Linked DNA regions of Pelodiscus sinensis. The protein of the gene in region 3 interacts with the protein of the main gene of each other region in a biochemical or structural test. Links are inferred from orthologs where the notes say so. Each region holds a gene or a part of one and is shown on either strand. Other genes may lie near its edges.

Region 1 (7,876 bases), on a different chromosome or scaffold from region 3:
CTGCTGAGGGAGGCAGGGAGCTCTGAGACTCATGGCTTGGATCCGGCTTGCAGGGGCAGGAAGCAGCTCCGTAAGCTGGAGGATTGGCAGCACAGGAAACTGCTCACCCAGTGGCTTTCTCCACTGCTTCCATTGGCCAGAATCCTGGCCAATGGGAGCAGTGAGGGGGCAAGGAGCCAGGTAAGCACCTCATCCTCATGCCCAACCCCTATCCCTCAGCCCACTCCTGTACCCACCCTCCTCCCAGACCTTGCATTCCTTCCTGCACCCTCCATCCTTCCCAGACCTCACATCCCCACTACCTCCTGCACCCATTTTCTCATCATGGGTGGTTGGCAGGTGGTCTGTGGAAAGGATTGCATTGAGCGGGGAGAGCTGTGATCCAAAAAGTTTGAGAACTACTGTACTAACCACTGCAAGCAGAGAGAGGTGACCAGTTTGTTCGAGAAAGCATACTGAAAACAGCAGTTTGGGCATGTGTAGTGGCATGGCATGCTTAGGGATAGCCATTGGAGTGCAAGCCCACCCAACCTCAGGTATAAACTCAAGTGGCTAATCCTAACTGCTACCTGTGTCGCCGTGGCCATCCTGTTATTTTTTGAACAATCAGCTTGAGCAGAGATGACATATCCGACTCCCCAGGCTCAGAGGCTAGCCCCCAACTGCTGTAGACATACCCTAAGAACAAAGTAGTAGTAATACACTGATAAAGCTGGATTGTTCCCTATGGATTCACATACAGAAGTCACACACCTCCTTTCAGTGTCACACCACTGAAGCTGCTTAGGGGTGGAGCTTCATAGGTATGTCTGCCCTACACAGATCTGTGTCTGGTTAGTCAAAATCATGCTAGCAGGGTGCAAGCTTGCACTGTGGACACTGTAGCAACAGCAAAGACTTAGAAAGCCACTCAAGCTCAAACCTTGGGACCAGGTAGGCTTAACATCTTGATCTATCATCCTAGCAGCAACATTCACACTGCTATTTTTAGCACACTAGCTCAAGATGCACTAGCTAGAGTCTGCATATGCAAGCTGGGAGGTTCACTCCTACAAGCAATGTAGGCATATTCATAGAGTCCTGGGGGAATGCAAGAATGCCATTATCTTGCTCCTCAGCAATACTCAGATCAGAGCGTTCCAGACAGATGATACAACAGTGAGCTCTACTGCTACATTGTATGGGCCACATAGCTCCTACTGGAGCCTTCCACCATATATGCCAGCAGCAGCTCTTCTTGCAGCAAAAATCCTTGCAGTTCCCAGAGGTCTGTGGGGGTGGTAGGGTCTTGGATGCTCAGAAATCCACAACACCCATTCTCTTCTACTAAGACAGAGCTAGAGAAAAACTGCAAGGTGAATCAAAGATGACAGCAATCTGGCTCCTGACTAGGGATATTAAAATTAATCAAATAGTCAACAGAATTCCCATCAACTATTTGATTAGTCAATAAGAGCACCTTCACTTTGAAATGTAGCAAGAACCCGCCCACTCCTCCACACTGATCTATGCAAACCTCTGCACATGTGGGGCACTCCACATCCATCTGTATTAGCTTGTATCCAAGGTGCTAAAAACAGACTTGCATTAGCACCTGTTGTGCCACTGGCACTGAGAAAAGTATAGTCTAGTTGTCAGAGGATGACTGGGGATTTTTGGTTACATTTCTGGCTCTGTCACATACGCGCTATGTGAACCTCGAAAAATAATTTTAACCTTTCTATACTTTGATGTCCTAATCCCAAAAAAGGGAATAAATCCTTATCTTGCAGATTAATAATGATTAAATTAGGACAGTGAAGATTCTTTATTGTGCTTTGAGATCTTCTGATGGTGCCACAGAAGTGACATATCTAGAACTGTCTAGAAATTTTCCCACAAAATATGTTTTGAGAACACGTTGATTGGCTGAAGCCAAAACTCACAGGAATGTGCCCATTTCAACAAAACTTCCATTGTGAAAGATTTTGCAGGTCCAGGATGGAATTTCTGCTCCAGGAGAGACACCCTGGCCAAAAATAGTCACTACAGGCTGGTGTCCAAAGCACTGATTCACATCAGGGGCTTGAAAGTGAATCTTCCATAACCACTCTAACCACTACTAGCCCATTCGCGTTGGGGGGTGGGCCTCTCCCCACTCCTTTTTCTAAAGAAATTTCAAAGGGCCTCTTTGGCCCCAACAGGACACATGCGGGCAGCTTGAAGGGCAGAGAAGCTAGTACCCAGGCAGCCCAGGGGGTAACTTCCAGAGCGATTCCTGTTTGCTGCGCATCCCCGAAGCACTGCTTGAGGGCGAGAGTAGAGACTAACGTGCCAGCTAAAAAGCCCCCCTCACGCCAGACTGGGGCAGACCACACAAGACGCGCCAACCTGGGGCAGCATTTGACCCTGCCAGGCCCTACCACTCTCCCATGCAGCAGAGCCCGTTTGCCGGTAGCTCCCAGGGCCGGCTCTTGCGGGAAGGGAGAAGGCGCCGCGCTCCCTGGACAGGTGCAGGACACCTGCAGCGGCGACTCCGGAGAGCCCCGCCCCCGGGCCCAAGGGAGTCAAGCCGCACGGGGGGAGAAAAGCGGCAGGGCGGAGTGCGGGGGGGCGGAGGCCGCTGGTGCCCCTGAGCTGTCAGCCTGCAGCGGAGGGGGAAGGGCCGGGCCAGAGGGTCACTCACCCGGCCCCCGGCGGCGGGGTCTTTCCTCCGCAGCGTGAGCCCGCTCCGCAGGCGGGCCGGCAGCTCCCTCAGCTTCTGCCGCAGCTGCCCTGGCGGCGGCTCGCGGTGCTGCCTGGCGCTCGGCCTGAGGCTCAGGGCGGGCTCCGCGCTCTCGCAGGGGGGCTGCATCCTGCCGGAGCCCACGGCCATCCCGCAGCGCAGCGGCCCCGGCTGGCTCGCCGCGCGCGCCCCGCTGCCACTCACGGCTCCGGGCGCTGCCCTGCCCGCTGGCGGCAGCGGCGGCGCGCACCTCTGCGCTGCGCGCGGGGCTGGGGACCGGGGGCCCGCTGAGTCATCCCGCAGGTGCAGGAAATGCTCGCGCCGCCAGGCTCTCTCCACCTTTTCCCTCTCGCCCTGCGCCTCCCCTGGGGACGCGGCTCCCTGCCCGCCCAGTGGCTGCGGCGGTGATCGAGCGCAGGTGAGTGGTAGGGCGGGGAGTAATAAAGTGCTGTTAACTGCTCGGCTTCTAGCATCCGCCCACCTCCCAGCGCGGCTACAGTGCCGCTGGGGGCAATGCTAGCGGCGTCAGGGGGCCAGCGGTAGCCCCGGGAGAAGAGCTGGGCAAAAAGTTTTCAGACACAACCCTCCCGCGCCCGCACACACACACTGAAAAATGCAGCTGGAGGTTGACCAAGTTGTAGCTTCCATGCGAAGAAGAAAACGTCATAGTAAAGCAGAGCCTCGATGGTCTGTGGCGACCTTCTCAAAATGACACTTGATGGCGTTCCCTTTCCAAATGACTTTTGCTCTCGAATGTGACTTCCTTTTTATGGAAACAGCTAAAAAAAAAAAAACCAAAACCCCTCAACGGCCTTGAAAACTAAACACACGTTTTGTGTCAGGTAAATCAAACCATTTTGGTTGGCCCCCAATGCAATTCTTTTTGTAACATTTTGTGTTGGTTAAACATTTTAATTTTAAAAACGAGCAGTTCTGTGACACCTTAGAGACTGAAAACATAATAGAGAGACTCCATGAGCTTTTGTGGGTAAAAAAGCTCATTATTCTCTCTATGTTTTGTCTTGGTCTCTAAGGTGCCACAGGACTACTGGTTGTTTTTAAAGTTACAGACTAACAAGGCTACCTCTGAGGCATTTTCATTTTATGTCAACCTAACAAATACCTTTTAAAAAAAAATTTGGTTACCAAACTGAAAAATCAATTTTTCATACAGGTCTAGTCACATCCTCTTCATTTGAGCAGGCTTGGATGCTTAAAACTCTGGCAGGAGCTCCAAGTCTTTGTGCTCTCTCATCCCTATTACACCCACTCATGGAGCTGAAACTTGGTGATAATGGTAGGAAAGTTTAGCAATATAATCCTAGTACAGACAGGGCTTTAGGAAGTAAGGAATCCAAATGAAATGAGGTCTGAGTATTTTGCTCTACTACAGTGGTTTTCAATCCCCAAATCTCACACTTAGGAAACATTAATGAATTAAGCCTCATAGAACCTTGGAGGGGGAGGTATTATCCATGTTTTACAAACATGAGTAAAATTTCCCTTATGTGAGTAAATCATTGACTTGTATCCTGTAAAAGAGTCAGGGTCCAAGAAATTGAAGCACTTATCACTGACAGAAGTGGGAAAAGAATTGCTCAATTGCTTTCTCATGCCCTTTATCCTTTTTGTCTAGATAGAGTGCAAAGTGAGATAACATGGCGCTGCTTATATACCAGCTTCCAGTTTGTTTCAGGCAATGCTGCCCTACAACAAACAAACAGATCTGAGGAATAAAAGTGTGCTGGCTTGTGTGTTCTATTGTTTTCTTCAGAAGTGTACTCTGTCCTACCCTCCTGCTGCATTCTTAGTGCCCGTCACTGTTAGGGACTGATGCTGGGACTATCTGCTGCAGGATTACCATAGATCCACCTCTCCGCATATCAGTGTGAACTACGCTCAAAAGGATTGTGGATCTCTTGTTTTTATTCTGGGTAATAGTGTGCTCTGTCCAAGTATTCAGGCATTACTATAATTACAACTATTGTAGTTACTGCTATTACTTCCAGTTATACTTCTGTGTGTTACATTAAATAATTCATTTACACTTTTCAAAGTGCATTGTGGTCATTTGAATAATAATACAATCAGAGCAATAACTAGAAGGAACAAGGTTAAATTAAGAAAAGGTAAATGTAGGTCAAAGCTCAGAAAAAAATGTCAACAGGAACATTTGAATATGTGAAGCATCTCCTAAGTAAAGTGTTTCTTGGAACATTTAAAACTAGGCAGACAAACTAATGGAAAATAGTGATTGGAAAATATACATTGGAAAATAATACTGCACTGGCAGGGTGATGGACTGGATCTGGATGACCAAATAGGTCTTCTCCATCTCTAACTTTGCAATGGGAATTAAGAGGGAATATTGTGCCTTACCTAAGGAATATGGAACCTTAGTTCACATCCCTGTAAAGGATCAGTATATGTATTGTCCTGTCCTCTAATGGCCAGCTCCCATATTCTTGAAAGCTGCACAAAATGAGGTTTTGACCCCATTAAAGTCAACTGCAGTTTTGCATATTTAGAATCAGGGAGTATTAGAGGTTTTGGCCATTTTGAATTGTGTTTGTTTTCTTTAACTCTTTATCGCAATCAAAAGAAATGCCATAATATAGTCCAAGATGCTTCATGACCAAGTGTATTTAATTAGTTATGTAATTAGAAAAATTGCAAAACACAATTATCTTGAATTAGACTCTTCCTGACAAAGCATAATAAACATTCATTTGAGACTTAAAATGTTCTGGCTTTCTAATGCTGTTAGGATAATCAATAAATTTTTAATTAACTTATCTCTTTGGCATTCATTTCAATAAAAATGAAGAATTATTGTACAGAGGTTTCAGTAACAGAAATAGTCATTGGGATATGGGGAGCCACTGAACATGCCTATAACAGCTGATGTCCCTAAGCCAGCTTCTCCTAGATGCCCCTTAAATAGCTTGCACCCAGCTCTGCCAACCCTGACAGTAAATCCTCTCAAAATAAAGGAAGACTTTCAAGAACACAAAGTCTGCACTACCATATCCCTTTCATTCTCCCAGGCATGCCTCCTGGACCAGAGCTCCATCTCATTCTCCCTGATCTGGAGAAGTCAGGCAATGAAGTAATTCTCTTCTTGCCATTTACTCGGGTTTGTCTGTAGTGGTTAGCGAAGACACTACCTATGCCGACAGCAGAGCGTCTTCCAGTCACATAGGTACTCCTCCTCAATGAAAGGCAATAGCTATGCCAACAGGAGAAGTCCTCTTATTGACATGGTGCTACTGTCTATGTTGTCAATTAGATCGGTATAACTATAAAACTTAGAAGTGTGGCAGTGTAGTATAGTCTTTCTTATGAGGGAACTGACAGATCATATGCTGGTCTTCTTCCCAGAACGCATTTTTGGTTGTCTGAGAAAGAGGTGCCCTGCACTATACTACAAGACTCCTGGTCCTGGGCCCAAAGGAGAATAGTAGCCTGGAGATACCATTTTTTCAAAAGTTAACTGTTACTCCACTTTAAGCTCTCTTATCAACTGCCTCTATCTTTCCTCAGGTCTTCTGTCATCTCCGGAATTCTTTGAATGAGGTCATCTGACCCCTGAGACTTCATCTTCTAGCCTCAAAACCGTGCCAATGCCTTTTTGTATCCTTTATTACTAAGACTTTAAAAGACGTCCGGTAGGGTGTGTGGGGGAGGAGGGGGTTAGCAATACGTCTTCCATGAAAGTCAAGGGTTTGCTTTGAAAATCTCAGGCTTTGTCTAGACTGGCCAGTTTTTCCTGGAAAAATCAGCTGCTTTTCTGGAAAAACTTGCCAGCTGTCTACACTGGCCACTTGAATTTCCGCAAAAGCACTGACTTCCTACTGTAAGGAATCAGTGCTTCTTGCGGAAATACTATTCTGCTCCCGTTCAGGCAAAAGTCCCTTTTGCGCAAAAGGGCCAGTATAGACAGTTCAGATTTGTTTTGAGCAAAAAAGCCCCGATCGTGAAAATGGCAATCGGGGCTTTTCTGCGGAAAAGCGTGTTTAGATTGGCACGGACGCTTTTCTGCAAGAAGTGCTTTTGCGGAAAAGCGTCCGTGCCAATCTAGACTCTCTGTTCCGTTAAAAGCATTTCTGGAAAACCATGCCAGTCTAGACACAGCCTCAATATATATGTCTTAACACTGAAACAAAACCACAATGTTCTCTGTCCCTGTCTATACTAGACCCAGCAGGTTGCTTAAAGGATGCAAGTCCAGGTATCTAAATAATGTCACGAGAGTCAATATACAGGGCATCCCTGCTATAAGTCGCCCTGGTACATATCCATTCCGCACTAAAGTTGTTGACGCTTGCAGGAACTGATGCATTATAAGTCCTCCCATTCCCCCCTCTTAAGTCATGCAAAAAAAAACCCACCCCAATTTGTGCAAATGGAAGTCAGACATGGGGAAAAAAATTCCCCGCTTTAAGTTGTTTCACTATAAGTCCAAGTTTTTCCAATGTATCTTGGACTTATAGTGAGGCTGGCCTGTACCTCAAACGAAGCTTGGTGCTGTCTCCACAGTGGGAGGTTGATGGGAGTAAATGCTTCTAGCTGCTTCCCTTACTTCTCATGAGGAGTAGGAGTACCAGCACCAACTAGGGGCAGCCTCAGCATTCAATTTAGCGGGTCCTTACTAGGCCAGCTAAATCAAATGCCAGAAGAGTGATCTCCAGCACAGCCAGTGGAGACATGGCCTCTATGACTGTTGTTCTAAGTCTTTTGAGATGGCCACTTTTTCCTCATCTGATCATTGGGTGGGATTCCATTTTTTTAAATTATTTTATTTGTTGTGCTTTTGAAAATTATCTAGTCACAGCACTGCCTAGAGAGAATTGTGGATTTGTAATATATACAGAAAATATCCCTTAGGGACTAAGCTGAAAATGAGGTTATAAAATGCCATCCATCCTAATTGAGTTGGGGTTATTCACACATTTTGTTTCATCTTTATAGTTTCAAGTTATCTTATTGTCTCATATGCCTTTGAAATAATTGCAAATATGTTCTCTCTCTTCATACTTCTTTGTCACACCATCTGAACTAAGCAGCAAATGACTGGCCAGATTGCCTCCCGCCCATCATGAGTGGGACCAGAAAACGCTCTGTGCTATTAGTTCTTTAACATTTCAGACTAAGACATCCCAAAGTACACTA
Region 2 (7,176 bases), on a different chromosome or scaffold from region 3:
CTGCTGACCAACTGACAGTCTTTTTATAATGTTCTCCCAAATCTCTTTGACTCCCATTACTGGAATTTAAGCTTCTCCCAGAAAAAGAGATCTTACTACATATTAACAAGTAGTATCCTTCTGAAATAACAGCATTCGGTTTCCAAATCTAACTTTTCAGTCACTAGTTGTGCTACTCTGATGCCTGTAGGCTTTCATACTGGTGCCAAGATTCAAGGCAAGTACTATAATAAACATTTGAAAAGGTCAAGCAAGGACACACAAACACAACTTTAACTTCACTATAATAAAAGGAATTTGTTCTAGAATGAGATGTAGAAAAGAATAATGTATTTTCATAAAATCAGGACTATCTTTTCTAACACATTTACACCATACTTTTCAACGTGATCTGACGTTGTCACAAGCTCAAGGATGTAAAACTGAATCCACAATGACTTATCTAAAGAAGGAATTCTGGATGCTGCCCCAAAAGTCAAAGTTCTTTCCTCAACCACAATTTAAAATGTCAACAGCCAATCAAAAATCTGGCAAAATCATCAGTAACCATGGTAATAAAAAATAAAACCCCTCTCTAAGATCAGCATATACTAAGTTCTTAGAGAAATAGGACAAATCTTTAGAAAACAGGACAGATGGCACTGCAACTAATGAGCAAAGTAACTCCTTGAATCATTAGCTATTGAACTACAGCTTGACTCAGGGATCAGCATAAAGCTTATTTGTCTTTAGACAGTTGGCAGCAGTAGCACATCCAGTCACCACTCCAAAGCAGTAAGAATTCACTCACCTTACGGAGACTCAAAAAACAAGTCAAAATAATTTTACACATTTTCCTCCCTTCTGTCTCTAATGTTTACAAAGCCCCATGCGCTAAAAATCCTACAGGAGTATATAAGTAAAATTGTTATTTATCCCACACATACCACATATAAGTGGGCCCCCAAGTGAAGACAGATTCAAATACAGCATTTAAAAAAACCTTCTCCCATGTTACTATGAAAGCATTTCTATTTCTGCAAGAATTTCTCCCTATTTTAAGGAAGCAAAGATTTGCCAAAAATACAACATTCACCTCTCTTATAAACGGATGGGCCAGTAATGTTGTATGCGCTATATATGTACGCAGTGAATTCAATTCCAGAATTAAACTACTTGTTATATATTAAGAATAGACACATGCTCTCAGTTTAACATTTCTTCTCTTTCCATGAACTAGCATCCTATACATCAATATTTTGGGTGAGTTAAGTTTGTGTAACAGTGAGTATGTTGCACTCCTATACAAACTATAGTGTTCAAAGTTTCTATTAACACCATAGTATCTTCTTTTAAAACACACTATGCAAAACAGAGAGGAAAGACAGCAGCAGTTACTAAATCTGGGTTTCCCATAGAGTCAGCTTTCAGGATTTATGCAACTCACAGTCAAAGAGATGTCCTCCCCCCTTCTCCTCTGTTGCTGTCTGACCACACAGGGGTTCTCTGCCCAATTTTAGACAAAGATAAAGGGAATGAACAGACCGACTAAGGGAATGTGAGCCCCCCAAAAGTAACAACAGTACTGCGAGAGAGGAGTGGGAAGAGAAATCTTAAAACTACTGCTGGCTGTGAATGAATAAGGAGTTCCTCCATCCCGTGAGTGGGAAAGGGGATTAGAGAGGTCTGAAAACAGATTAGCTGACATACGTATGTACAGATCAAGGAGTACTCGAAGCAGAGGAAATGTTTATGATGTGTGTGTGAGACAAACAAGAGATAAACAAGCAGTAGCTACGGGGAATGTTGGGGAAGGGAGGATTCATTATGTGGGAGTGGGTGGAAGATGAAAAAACTGCACTATGCAACGTGGAAGGGCATAAGGAAATAGGTACCTGTTGCCCCGTGTGCAGCACCCCGGGGGCACAGATCAGGTGATGCCTGCCTGTACCCTGGGGCTCCTATCCAGGAAGAAAAATGGGGGTCGGTGCCCGAGGTTAGGCTCCTCTTGAAAGGGAAAAGAAACAACAAAGGCTGTAGGAGCTCCCCGGGGCAGCGGGGGGCCGAGAGCTAAGAGGAGGGCGCTGCAAGGGGTAAGTCCCCAGCAGATCTCGAGGGCGGGGAGGGCTCCCTAAGGGGACACTACGGGGGAGAGCGAAGGGAGGGTCACGGGCCCCTCTGGCGCCGTTAGAGGGACACAGGGGGGTACCTGGGGGCTCCTCTCCGTCGGGTTCTTCATCACCGCCTGGCGGAAGCTGTTATCCACGTACGACGCCATCTCGTTCCGTCTCTGCCCCGGCCCCGCCGCCGCCTGCCCGGCCCCGCGGCGGCCCCTGCTGGGTGCGGGCTGGGCTGGGAAGCGGCGCCGAGCCCCGGCCCGAGGCGCGCGGCGGGGGAGCCGGGCTGGTCCCGGCGGGCTCCGCTCCCTGGCGCTGCCCGGCTGGCGGGCGCGGCCTCTCGCGGCTCCGGGTTCGCGGCCGCTGGGGGTGAAGCGCCGGGACTCAGCAGCGCCGCCGCCCGGGCAAGCCCGGCCGGCAGCGGGAGGGGCGGCCCGGGAGCTCCCGGGGTCCTGGCGCCTGGCGGCGGCTCCCGACTCCGGCTCTACTGGGCTCCGCCGTCCCGCTCCGCGGCTGCTGCGGCTGCATCCCCGCCGGCGCCTCCCATCCGGGCTGCGGGGCTGCGCTCCCGGCGGGCGCGGGGAGCTGGCGGGCGCGGCGCGGGCGGGGCCGGGCTGTCACGGGGGGAGCGGCCTCCGGCGCTGGCGGCTTTGTGCTGCTGCAACCATGGTGAGGAGCCCGCCGCACCGGCGGGGAGCGGCCAGCGGCGGCTGCAGCGCTCGGGGAGGGGCCGCGCCCAGCTCCCGCCCCGCGGCCCGGCCGACACCTCTTCCCCCGCGGAGCGTCGCCTGCTGTTTGATCCCAAGAGGGGTGTCGGGGTTCGGGTCAGCGCACCGCTCTCGGGCCCCGGGCGGGCCTGCCAGCCCCTGACCCACCCAGCTCTGCTACCACTCTCAGACCAGGAGGCTGGGTAGCCTCGCTAGGTACCCATATGGGGGCAGGCTTCAAAGCCCAGTGCCCCTACCGGCAGCCACCACTCTCCCAAGGAGAGGAGTCCAGTTCCCATGGGGTGAGAACAGGGGTTTGTGCTGTAAATGTCTTCCAGGTACTCCCATATAGGCTAGAGCAGACCCCCTGCAAGAAGTGAAAACTGAAGGGGAGCATTTTGTTGCTAGTGAACGTAAAATATGTGATTAAAGCAATAAATCTGACTTTGTGTTATTAATACAGTTTCTTTCCTAATAGCCTTTTTAAGTCATTTTGGGGAGTAGCAAAGGAAAGCCTACAATGTACAGAGGGTGCGGGAGTAGGGCAGTTGGTTGGGACTTGGAGGGGCAGGAGTCAGTGCACGAGATTGGGGAGCAGGAGGGATTCAGAGCAGGGGATTGGCGGTGTAGAGAGCAGGGGGGGGAGGGGAGTTAAGGGTTGGGACAGTCCCGTCATAGTGATCCTGCCACAAGCTGCTCCAGTTCCCAGCCAAATGGGAGCTGTGAGTGCAGCAATTGCAGACAGGGCAGTGCACAAGACAGGTTGCCAGACTCTATACCATACTCAGTTCATAGACAGATGGATTTAAACTGTGTCTGGATGTGGAAGACATTGCAATAATCTGTTCTAGCCCTGGCAAAATGATAGATTGTCAAACCTGGGAGAGGCTATTATGATAATCTGTTTTACACTTAACAGGATTTAGAATTTCATCCACAAATAGCTGCATCAAGCCATACTTTCTGAGGACAGAATATTGTTTAGAAAGACATCCAGTCCTGATGTAAAGACTTATACTGATAGAGAATACATTACATCTCTCAGAAAGGCATCCTAATGATTAAAAGCTTAAGGATGAAAGAATTTTGATTACTTATTCAAGAGAACTGCCAGAGGTTTCAATCTGTGACTATTCACACACCAGTGCAGGAACTCTTCCAGTATATTGCCAAGCTATTGTATAACAAGATTTACTGCATGGGTTATATTAGCCAGGTCCAAAGGGAAAGGTTTTACCTTCTAATAAGAGGCACATGCTGCTGCTGCCTTCATCATCTAAAAGCAGTTAGGGATCTAATAAGATCCCCCAACTGCAAACTCTGCTAACAAATGGACAAATGTCTTCAACTGGAGCCAAATATAATCTAAACCAACTCATGGCTTTCCACACTCCACAATAACTTTACCCCATGTCTTCAGTGGTATTTAAGTGTTGCTGCACCTAACAAATGGAATTCTCAGCCCCCGACTACCAGCATGGCTCCCCATACAAGAGTTGTTCATGTAAGGAAGGGATCTTCAGAAGCTAAACAAGTTGACTAGGGAATTTCCTAAACTATCCAGGAATGAAATGCCATGTTTAGGTGTTTAAACAGTGTCCTGGCTGACAAGCCAGAGGTAGGCACCTTCCTCTGCTTGGAATCTTCATCTATAATAAACCTCCAAAGCTCAGTCAGCCGCTTAAGTAGCTTATGCTCTAGCAACCAAATCTGCCTTGTGCTGTGTCTTACACTTGCACTACATTTACCCAAGCTATTGGCGGTTTGGATAGGTGGTGTGCAGTATTTGTGGTCTGTGTCCCGGCTGTTTGCTTCAGGTCTAACCAGTTTTAGGCATGCACAGAGCACACCTAAAGGATTGTCCCCTATTGGCAGAATAGGCATTCCCCTGCCTAGGTTTCAGCTTTAGCTAGAACACTGGACTATTTATTAGCTAGATCTGGGGCAGGGTGATGGGAGTAAAGGGTTGGCATCAAGACTTCAGGAGGCTCTGTGAATGCTGACCAGCAAAAACCTAGGCTCAGAGGGGACTTTTAAGCACTTGACTCCTGATTGATTTCAACTGGAATTTGGTGCCTAAATATGTTTTAAAATTTGGTTGTAATTTCTTTGGCAAGTCCACTCTTGTCACTTGTCTCTATGCTAATCAACATCAGCCAAATGTCCCGTTTGTGTCATGTTATATAAGAGAACAGAGAAAGAAAAACAAGATGTTTTAATTTACTTTTTTTGAGTCTCCTAGCGAATTTTCTCATATAGGAGCCTGACTTCATTTAAACTATGAGTTCCTTGCAGCAAAGACCAACGTTATTTGTGTTTCCCATAACATTGAGCATACCACAGCTGCTTAACAAATAATACTTGTTAATTATACATAATACTTTCAGCAATGTAGAACTGTTCAGTGGATTTGCTTTTCCAAATACTACCGTGCTATGTTATGTAAACACTGTTAACATTATAAAGGTTTAAAAAATTTTAAATGATAGCTTTTCAAATAATAGCACAAGAGTACATCTTTTAAGGTGCAAACATTACAGGATGTTTATTTCTAATTTATTGAAATTTAAGCATATGAAAAATATTTTTTTAAACAAAACCTAAATTTGAAGGCTTAAGTGAACTAGTAATTTACAGGCTAGTTTAGGAAGAGCTAGCTGACTGCTTAAGGAGTCTGTGGAGTAGCTGTGTGAAATTTACTAAATCTAGTCAGTTTCTCCATATAGGTCTTCACAGTGCTTTTTTTGTTTTAAAAAAAAAGTGCCAGCACTCCAGAAGAAAAGTTGTTGAGCTCTGACTGGAAGTGCTGGTACTGCATCTGGAGGTGCCAGTACTGCGTACCAGGCAGTACCATCACAAAAAAAGCACTGGGTCTTCCTCAATAGAAAAAGCTGCAAAAGTATACAAATTAGCAGGGTCTGATCTTAATGAAATGCTTGTGTGGCCAGTGCAGAGAATTCTGTGTAAAGTGTTGGAGTAAATGGAGGAAGTTCCATATCTCATCATCTTGATTTTCAATGCACAGGAGTTAGTTGTTTGAAAAGACAGGATGTTGTTTAAATTGACAGGACCGAAATCAATTCCCTATTCCCTAAAAATATCAGTTTTAAATGTGCCTCAGCTCTCCCCCTCCCTCCACTCAAAAAAACCAGAAAGAATGTATTATTCCTTCCAATTAATAAGGGAAGCTGCAACTGTGTGAAAGTGCCAGTTTCTCTTCTGAGAAACCTATCACCAAGCCAGGGTGCCTGTGATTCTCTTGAAATACACACACAGGCTATGTTTATACTACAAGGTTTGCGCAAACACCGGCAGAGCGTCCACACCTCAAGTGCATTTTTGCGCAAGAAAATTGACAGAACAGAGGGCTTTTGGCGGTAGAGTTATTCCTCTCCCCACAAGGAATAACTCCTTTTTGCACTACAGCTCTTGCACATAAAGGCGGGCATGGACGCCTATCGGAAAAAGCACAGGTGCTCTGATGACCATTCTCTGAATGGCCTTCAGAGCTTTCTTGTGCAAGAGTGTCTATGCAGTGTGGATGCTCTCTTGCACAAAAGCACATCACTTTTGCAATGCGCTTTGAGGTCCGGATGTGATTTTCCACAAGAAGTTTTTGCGCAAAAACTCTTGCATGAAAGGCTTCTTGCGCAAAACCCCTGCAGTGTAGACTAAGCCATAGTGTAAGTGCCACACAAGCATATGAAGCATTGATCTGTTTTTGAAGCATTTGAGGGCACTAAATCCTGTATGTTACAAGCAGAAAAACTAGTTTAATTTACAAGTGAAATGATATGCACGTCCGCAAATCAAGAGAAAGCTACCAACTCTATTTTACCATACAACTGTTATTCTTAATTTTAAGATTATATATTGACTGAGTCCCTCTAAGAATTTTAATTTGGTGATTGATCTATTTTATGGTGTCTATTACTATAGTATTTGAGAGTCACAATGGTATTTGGTTTCAGTGAAACAGTCTCTCCCCTCCCCCTCACCCCCGCCTCCCAACACTAATTATTTCTTAATTTGGATTTACTAGGTAAAAATAAATGGGGCCTAATGCAAACAGACATTATCCTTTCAACACATGATGGCATGGAATCTATTTCGTTCCGCTTAAGATTTTGCACTTGTCATAAAGCTTAAAGGTAGATATTTAAAGAAATGGATGTTGTTAGATTGTTAAGTCATATGAGTCTCAAATACGAACAATGCTCACTGGCAAAATAGGTACAAAATACTTAAAACTACAGAGATTGTTTTGTTTTTTTAAGTCAGTCCAGCATGGAACTCATGCACAATTTCTGTCAGAATAGGTTGTCAATGTAGAACTACATTTTCATGTATCTTGTATGAAATTACATACATAA
Region 3 (7,219 bases):
TGAAAATACTGCATACAAAAATAGATTATTTTTAGGCTCAGTATGTGAAAGCACAGTACTTCCTGCCTCAGCTCCACCTTAAAAACTATACATACATTCTCTTTTTGATTTCTACAGCTAGTGTTTCATAACCCCTGCTATCAAACGCAATGGAGGGGGACGTCAAAAGGACAAGCTGTTAGAAACTAGGGAACTGGCATTTCAAGTTTGTAACTCAGCACAAGAAAAGTTTTGTTAAAATACACCATCACTCTTGGCAATCATGTCATATTAAAATGATGGTGTTTCTATCTGTCACAGCTATGAATAGCCTCAAATATTTTTATTTATAACCCTGATCTTTTCCATAGCAACAGGATGGGAACACGGCATTCCCAGTGTAATTAAGTCACTATAGCAACACGATAATGATGTCAGAATAATCAGAAAGTATTTCATATTTGGGAGATGGTGCACCCCACTAGCTGTGTATAAATTTCAAAAGTTACAGATACTGCAGAATCCAAAGAGTTCTGCTTTAAATTCCTCTTTCACTTAAACTCACAGAAACAACATTAAGGTCCAGAGTGTTTGATTATTAATATCTGTTTCTTAGTGACTTCAGTCCTTACTGTCTCTTAAGGAGTCTGACATGACAAACTGGATAAAGAATCAAGTGCTAGCCCACTAACAAAGGAGAAGAAATGTTTCAAAATATTTCAGATGAACATAGGGCAATTCACAATTCAACCCTGGCCTCCTTCAAGGAACACAATGAGTTAGATTATTTGATGCTGCTAAAGGTCAAACACATTGGGTGCCACATTTTAGACTGCAAACAATACACAAAGCCAAAATTACAACCTCCCACTATAGTTAAAAACAATGTAATTAACAAAAAACACAAACAAGAAGTTTTGGTACCACATTTGCATTTTGAAAATAAAAATTTGGATTTTTTTACTTCTGGCTTCATTACCTGTGGTGTTTGTTTACTGTTTGCACTTAATTCCAATTTAGGACTAGACCAATGAAAACAGATGTCAGTTTTGTATCTAGTCAGTTTCAATTTCTGGTTCTCAGACACTAACACAAGATTGCAATGCTTGGTTAAAAACACTGCAAAGAAAGATTTAAAAATAAAACAGTTTACTATAGCCATTGGTTCTGTCAAATTTCCTAAACACAAAAATATCCACTAAATTTGGAGCTAAACAGTGTGCCTTTCAACATGAATAATTTTTGTGGTTCTGTGGAGAGAGGAAAAGTAAATTTGATGGTATCTGGAGGCATATAATCATTTTTCTACTGGATACTTCAGGAAAGACTATCCTATTGGTAATTCTTGTGGTAGTCAACTCCCTATTTTACAAGTTTTCGAGTGATGAAGATTATGTAACACACCCCATGCTTAATAAATCAAGTGAAGGTTAAAAGTTTCAGTACTGAGCAGAAGTATATACTAAAATATTCCATGTACATGCCAAACGTAGCCAAGAAAAAAAATCCTGAAAGATTCCTACAAGTCAGAATTTAGCTATCAGTGGCCCTTGAAATACATCCTTTGATGTCATATGCTACCCAGACTTGATGGGATAGAACTTACAAATTAGAAAGAAACTTGTTCAGCCTCAGTTTTTAAATAGAAAACTGGCAGAAAGCGGAGAAAGAATATTCCCCCTATGGTGACACCTCCAGAAATGTGACAATGTAATAAAATGTTTGAGTATGCGAAGCACTATAAAGAATTGACTATGCAAATGAACGAAGATGCTTCCTCACCCCCCTTCACCCACTGCCTAAAATAGCAATCTAAAACTAGCTTGTTGCTTTGAATGCCTTGATCATTCAGGTAACAGTTGTTAGGTTGGATGTTTTTCTTTTAGAGCTATACAAAACTTTAAACCTCTCAGTGTCTCTTCCCAAACTTCCTCTTCAAATTCAGGGCAGTGGGAACAGGAAAATAAACTCTCGGAATATAACACCGACACCCAAATCCAAGTGTCGTCCACCTGAAATAGATCTTTTCCACACAGACCCCCCCCCCCCAAGCCTTGTCTCACATGCGTTATTTTTTTATACTAATCCCAAGTTATCTTCAAGGACAAGGGATGAGAACCACAACAGCCCATTTATGTCCCCTTACAATAGCTTCGGCAGCGGCGATGCCCTTCAATTTGCATTCCCTAGCTCCTTCAGTTCTGGGTCCAGGACCGAGAAACACCCTGGACCCCCGGACCGCATGAAGCAGTAAGAGAACTGGAGAGAGGTTCGCTCAGGCCTAACTACACAATCTGGGGAGTTTCTTCTAGGTCAACACTGAGCGCACCAGGTGGAGGTGCCAGGCTGCCAGGCTCCCTTCCCCCTGCTCCCCCGAAGAGAGAAGTGCAGCAGCATCCCTGGCGCCTGGCGGTCCCCCCCTCTGGAGCTCTGAGGCAGGCGGGGGAATTCCTGGTCTCACTTCCCCATTTCCAGGGCTCGCATGCAGGAGCCGGGGCTAGGAGAGCGGCGGGTGGCAGCCCCCCCAGGGCTGGCTGCCGGGGCGCTGCCCGCCGTGGGTCAGGCCTGGCGCCCCCCCCCCCGTTCGGGGCCGACCAGCCCGTGCCCGGTGCCCGCCCCAGGAGCCCACCAGAGCCCCGTGGGCGCGGGGGGGGAGGGGGGAGGGGCGCGCCGATGCCCCTGGGGGGGGGGCACAGCCCCTCATCCCCTGCCCCCCACGCGCCCCTGCCCCGCTTCCTGGGGCAGCACCTGCCCCCGCCCTGGGGGAGGGAGGCTCCGCCCCTGCGCTACCCGGGTACCCACCGCCCCCCAGCGGGGAGGGGCAAATCCGAGCCCCCCCCGCTCAGGGCCCCCCGCCAGCGGGTGTCGGGGTCACCGCGCTGCTCCCGCCGGGGGGGGCCCGGCCCCGCAGCTCGCCCCCCCGGCCGCGGGCCCCGCTCACCCGCCGGGCCGCCGCCTTCCGCCCGCTCGGCTCCCTGCCTGCGCTCCGGGCTCGGCGGCTCTGCGCGGCGGCGCGTCCGTCCCGCCCTCCCGGCCGGCGCCCGGCAGCGGCGGGGCGGAGCCAGGGGGCGGGCCCGGGCGGGGGATGGGGGCGGCGCTGTGGGGGCGGGGGGATGGGGTAGGGTGCTGGGGGATCGGGCCCTTTGGGGGTGGGGGGATGTGGGGGCGGGGGGATGGGGGGGCGCTGTGGGGGCAGGGGGATGGGGGAGATGGGGGGGCGCGGGCCCTGTGGGGGCAGGAGGATGTGGGGGGGTGGGCCCTGTGGGGGTGGGGAGACGGGGTAGGGTGCTGGGGGGGCGGGGGGATGGGGGTGATGTGGGGGGGCGGGCCCTGTGGGGGTGGGGGGATGGGGGGGCGCTGTGGGGCAGGGGGATGGGGGGATGTGGGGGGCGCGGGCCCTGTGGGGGCAGGAGGATGTGGGGGTGAGCCCTGGAGGGATGGGGGGGCGCTGTGGGGGCAGGGGGATGGGGGGTGGGCCCTGTGGGGGTGGGGAGATGGGGTAGGGTGCTGGGGGGATGGGCCCTTTTGGGGGCAGGAGGATCTGGGAGGGGGGCAGGGGGATCTAGAAGGGACCGGGCCCTTTCGTGGGGAGTGAGGGGGCTGTGGAGGGATCTGGAGGGAACTTTTGGAGGGGGATCTTGGAGGGATCTGGAAGGGACCAGGTCCTCTGGGGGAGAGCGAGTTGGATCTGGAGGGGATATGGGGGAATCTGGAAGGGTCTGGGGCCCTTTGTAGGGATGAATGGGATCTAGAAGAGACCTGGCCCTTTGGGAGATGGGGCCATCTGAAGGGCACTAGGTCCCTAGGAGATCAAAGATATGGGGCTGTTGGAGGGGTCTGGGGATGGGGGTGAAATGAGGGGGTGTTTGGAGGAGGATGTGGAGAGGGGCTCAGGCTGGGGCTTTTCTATCAGTAATTCCCGTTACAAAATTTATCAGGTGCCTGCTGGTCTCAGTAATTGACCAGATTCCAGGCAGAGGGAAAGGGGCTGCTGGGTTTTCGTTTTCGTTTTACTGTCAATTTAAGTCACTTTTTTTTCTTCTCTTTTTTTTAATGCAGGGCCCTTTGTTTACCTCATGCTTTACAGACAAACAAAATAAAAGTTTCCTGCCTCGAAGAGCGTATAGTCTGTCCTCAGTTCTGCTGTCAGTAGTTCTATGTGGGTGGAAAACTCCCTCTACTCCTCTCCCCCATCTCCAGACTCAATAGACCACCCAGGGCCCCTTCACCATAAAGGGGCGCTAAGCAGGTCCAGCCACCCTCCTCCTGTTGAGGCCTAAATTAAAACAGGGAAAACCAAATATCCAGGGAGGCAGGGCTAGGAGAAGACAGCAGTGACTACACATCAATGTTTCCTCTAATTTTTTCCATCTATGTGCGGAATAAATTTTGTTATGTGCACTGGGCGTGTGTAGATGTGCCCCACCAATAGAAGTACATGTTGCCAGCAGCAGGCACCCTACTAATCAGCTGGGCGGCTGCCCAAGCGCTCAGCTTTGAGGAAACATCTACACACCAGGATATGCTTTTTGGGGGGCTTTTATGTTGTTTTTTTGCTAGTGGGATTATTCCTATGCGTTAGTTCTTTGCTGGGTTAAGCTCATGTGCACAGCCCCGTGCAGGATAAAACCCCACCTCGAAATGGTCTGGGAAGAGCAGAATGTATCTATTGAGCACTGAGCTAATTTTTGGCTAGTGTGAAATAGACTCCCATGTGTCCTGCCAGCCCAAAGTCAGTGCACCATCGAGGAGCGTATTTGAGTCATGTGTAGGGTTTGTATTTCCCCCTGCTGAGAGGTGAATTTCATCCATGATTTGGCAGAAGACAAGTAGGAGTTTTTCAGCAGAGAGAGTGCAACCATAACAATATTTTCTTCTGTTGTCTCCTGGGGCCTTCAGCCCAATTATTCTGCAAGCACAAAGTAGCATCATTTTTATTTCAGCCTCATTCAAACCTAGAAACTCTTCTCAGCTTCAAGCATGGATTTTTTATATATAATATAAGGTGTTCATTGTGTGCACATGACTGTTAAATGGAAAAACTGTAATTTCATTTGCTTTTCATATAAATTTGCTGGTGCCGTCTTCCAAAGTTCTTTCAACTTATGATGACTTTGTAATGAGTTTTGTCACACGATCAGGAATTGATCTGACAAGCCAAGCATAGCTGCTGGACTGGGATAAATTTACAGACAGAAAAAATTATATCAATTTCTTTTGGACCATGGAGTGCAAGCCATTTAATTCTAATGCCACAACTCAGGTTCAATAAATATCTCAGGAAAGTATGATGGTGCGCATAGTTCATGAGTATTATACGGAACATTGAGGTAGCCCAGGCAGTTGATATAATTGCTCCTAAGTGCCTTCTTTGGGCTAGTCAAGCCAAGTTTGCTCCCTGGTTTTCTGGGGAGTTGATGGCGGCAAAACGGTCTGTGTGACGGTTAGAACGCCACTGGAGGAGAACTAGAGCTGAGTCTGATCAATTTCAGGTTCGAGCTGAATTGCGAGCTTACTCTGTGGCTGTGCTGGCAGCGAAGAAAAGCTACTTTTCCTCCTGTATTGCATCCACACAATGCCGCCCTATGTAACTGTTTCGAGGGGTGCGAGGCCTGTTATTGTCTGTTACTCATGATGAAATGGAGGAACTCTTGGCTCCCCTCTGTGATCTGTTTGCGAAGCGCTTTGCGGATAAGGTGGCTCACATTCGGTCTGATTTGGACTCTGCTGTGGAAGTGGGGCACAGAATGAGTTGAGAGAACTGCCCTCTCATTTTTCTTTGGAATAGTTTCAGCTGTTGCAGACCGAGGATGTGGACAAGATGCTTGGAGGAGTGCGATCCACCCCATACTCACTCGACCCCTGCCCTTCATGTCTTATTATATCTAGCCATGAAGGGATGACTGGCTGGGTCCAGGGGACTGTTAATGTGTCTTTTAGATCTGGCATGGTTCCTGCCTCCTTGAACAAGGCAGTGATAAAACCTCTACTTAAGAAGTCTTCCCTGGACCCACATGAGTTGAATAACTATCGTCAGTTGCTAATATTCCCTTCTTGGGCAAGGTACTCAAGCGAGCGGTGGCGTTGCAACACCAACGTTTCTTGGAAGAAACGGATTATTTAGAGCCATTTCAGTCTGGCTTTAGGCCGGGTTTTGGAACTGAAACCACCTGAGTCACCCTGGTAGATGACCTACGTCGGGAGATAGATCGGGGAGTGTGTCCCTGTTGATTCTCTTGGACCTCTCAGCGGCTTTTGGTACCATCGACCATGGTATCCTTCTGGAATGCCTGGTGGAGTTGGGTATCGGAGGTGCTGTTCTGCAGTGGTTCTGGTATTACCTGTCGGGGCGCCTTCAGATGGTGGAGCTAGAGGGCTGCTATTCGACCCCGTGGCGATTGTGCTACGGGGTCCTGCAAGGTTCCATCTTGTCCCTTATGCCAGCATTTCCCAAAGTGTGGTCTGTGGCCCAGTACCAGTCCTTAAAAAAAAAATACCGGTCCTCAGAAAAATTTTCACGCACGATTCTTGGGAGAGAGCCCACCACCGTGGCGTCTCTGCCGGGCATGCTCCCGGGCAGCAGGGCTAGATCCAACGGGCACTAGGGTCCAGAGAGAAGGCCAGTCGCTGTGCACACTGACACAGAATGCCCGGCTCCAGATGCAACCGGGGGAGCTGGCGCCAGCCGATAAAGTAGCCAGGATTGGGACCAGGATGGGGGGGTGGAACAACCCGCCGGACAGGTAGGGCCAGCAACATGCCCTGGGGCAGAGTGCTGCCCGCGTTTTCACCCACGAATGCAGATGTAACGGGGAGAGGACACAGGTCTACTCACCCAACCTCCAGGGCCCATATGAGCTCAGTCACCGGTAGGCCTGAGAGGGACCTTCTAACCTTATCACTCCCAGACAGGTGTGAAGTAGATATCTTGGGGTTGGAGTCAGGAAACTGCCCAGGGCAGTTGACTGGGCCTGCTCCTGTTGGCACTGGGCACTTTGGGAGGACCAGAAACAATTTATTTGCATAGTCAGCATTTGCTTAATGAATATGCAAATATGCAAAAAATGTTACCAGTCCTCCAAAATCTTGTGAATGGGTTTACTGGTCCCCAGTATCAAAAATATTGGGAACCACTGCCCTATACTGTTTACCATCTACATCACAGCTACTCAACTTTGGAAGCCCCGCAGGCCACAATGATACTCACAGCACACGCCAAGGGCCGCAACTTTAGTGTGGC

What was found.
Region 1: of the proteins of RAP1A (region 3) and RAPGEF5, one has a biochemical effect on the other in vitro, tested with the Homo sapiens proteins (2 studies listed by BioGRID). The link is inferred for Pelodiscus sinensis from reciprocal best matches to the Homo sapiens genes RAP1A and RAPGEF5.
Region 2: the proteins of RAP1A (region 3) and RAPGEF2 form a complex in vitro, tested with the Homo sapiens proteins (2 studies listed by BioGRID and IntAct, with this or other methods). The link is inferred for Pelodiscus sinensis from reciprocal best matches to the Homo sapiens genes RAP1A and RAPGEF2.

Annotation. Positions count from the first base shown.
Region 1 is NC_134712.1:199,692,779-199,700,654, reverse strand, and holds the start of RAPGEF5 (rap guanine nucleotide exchange factor 5), read right to left. Parts: upstream 3,049-7,876; 5' UTR 2,855-3,048; coding exon 2,666-2,854; intron 1-2,665. UniProt on the Homo sapiens protein: Guanine nucleotide exchange factor (GEF) for RAP1A, RAP2A and MRAS/M-Ras-GTP. Its association with MRAS inhibits Rap1 activation.
Region 2 is NC_134715.1:59,798,361-59,805,536, reverse strand, and holds the start of RAPGEF2 (rap guanine nucleotide exchange factor 2), read right to left. Parts: upstream 3,049-7,176; 5' UTR 2,258-3,048; coding exon 2,189-2,257; intron 1-2,188. UniProt on the Homo sapiens protein: Functions as a guanine nucleotide exchange factor (GEF), which activates Rap and Ras family of small GTPases by exchanging bound GDP for free GTP in a cAMP-dependent manner.
Region 3 is NC_134737.1:3,068,373-3,075,591, forward strand, and holds the start of RAP1A (ras-related protein Rap-1A), read right to left. Parts: upstream 3,054-7,219; 5' UTR 2,921-3,053; intron 9-2,920; 5' UTR 1-8. UniProt on the Homo sapiens protein: Counteracts the mitogenic function of Ras, at least partly because it can interact with Ras GAPs and RAF in a competitive manner. Together with ITGB1BP1, regulates KRIT1 localization to microtubules and membranes.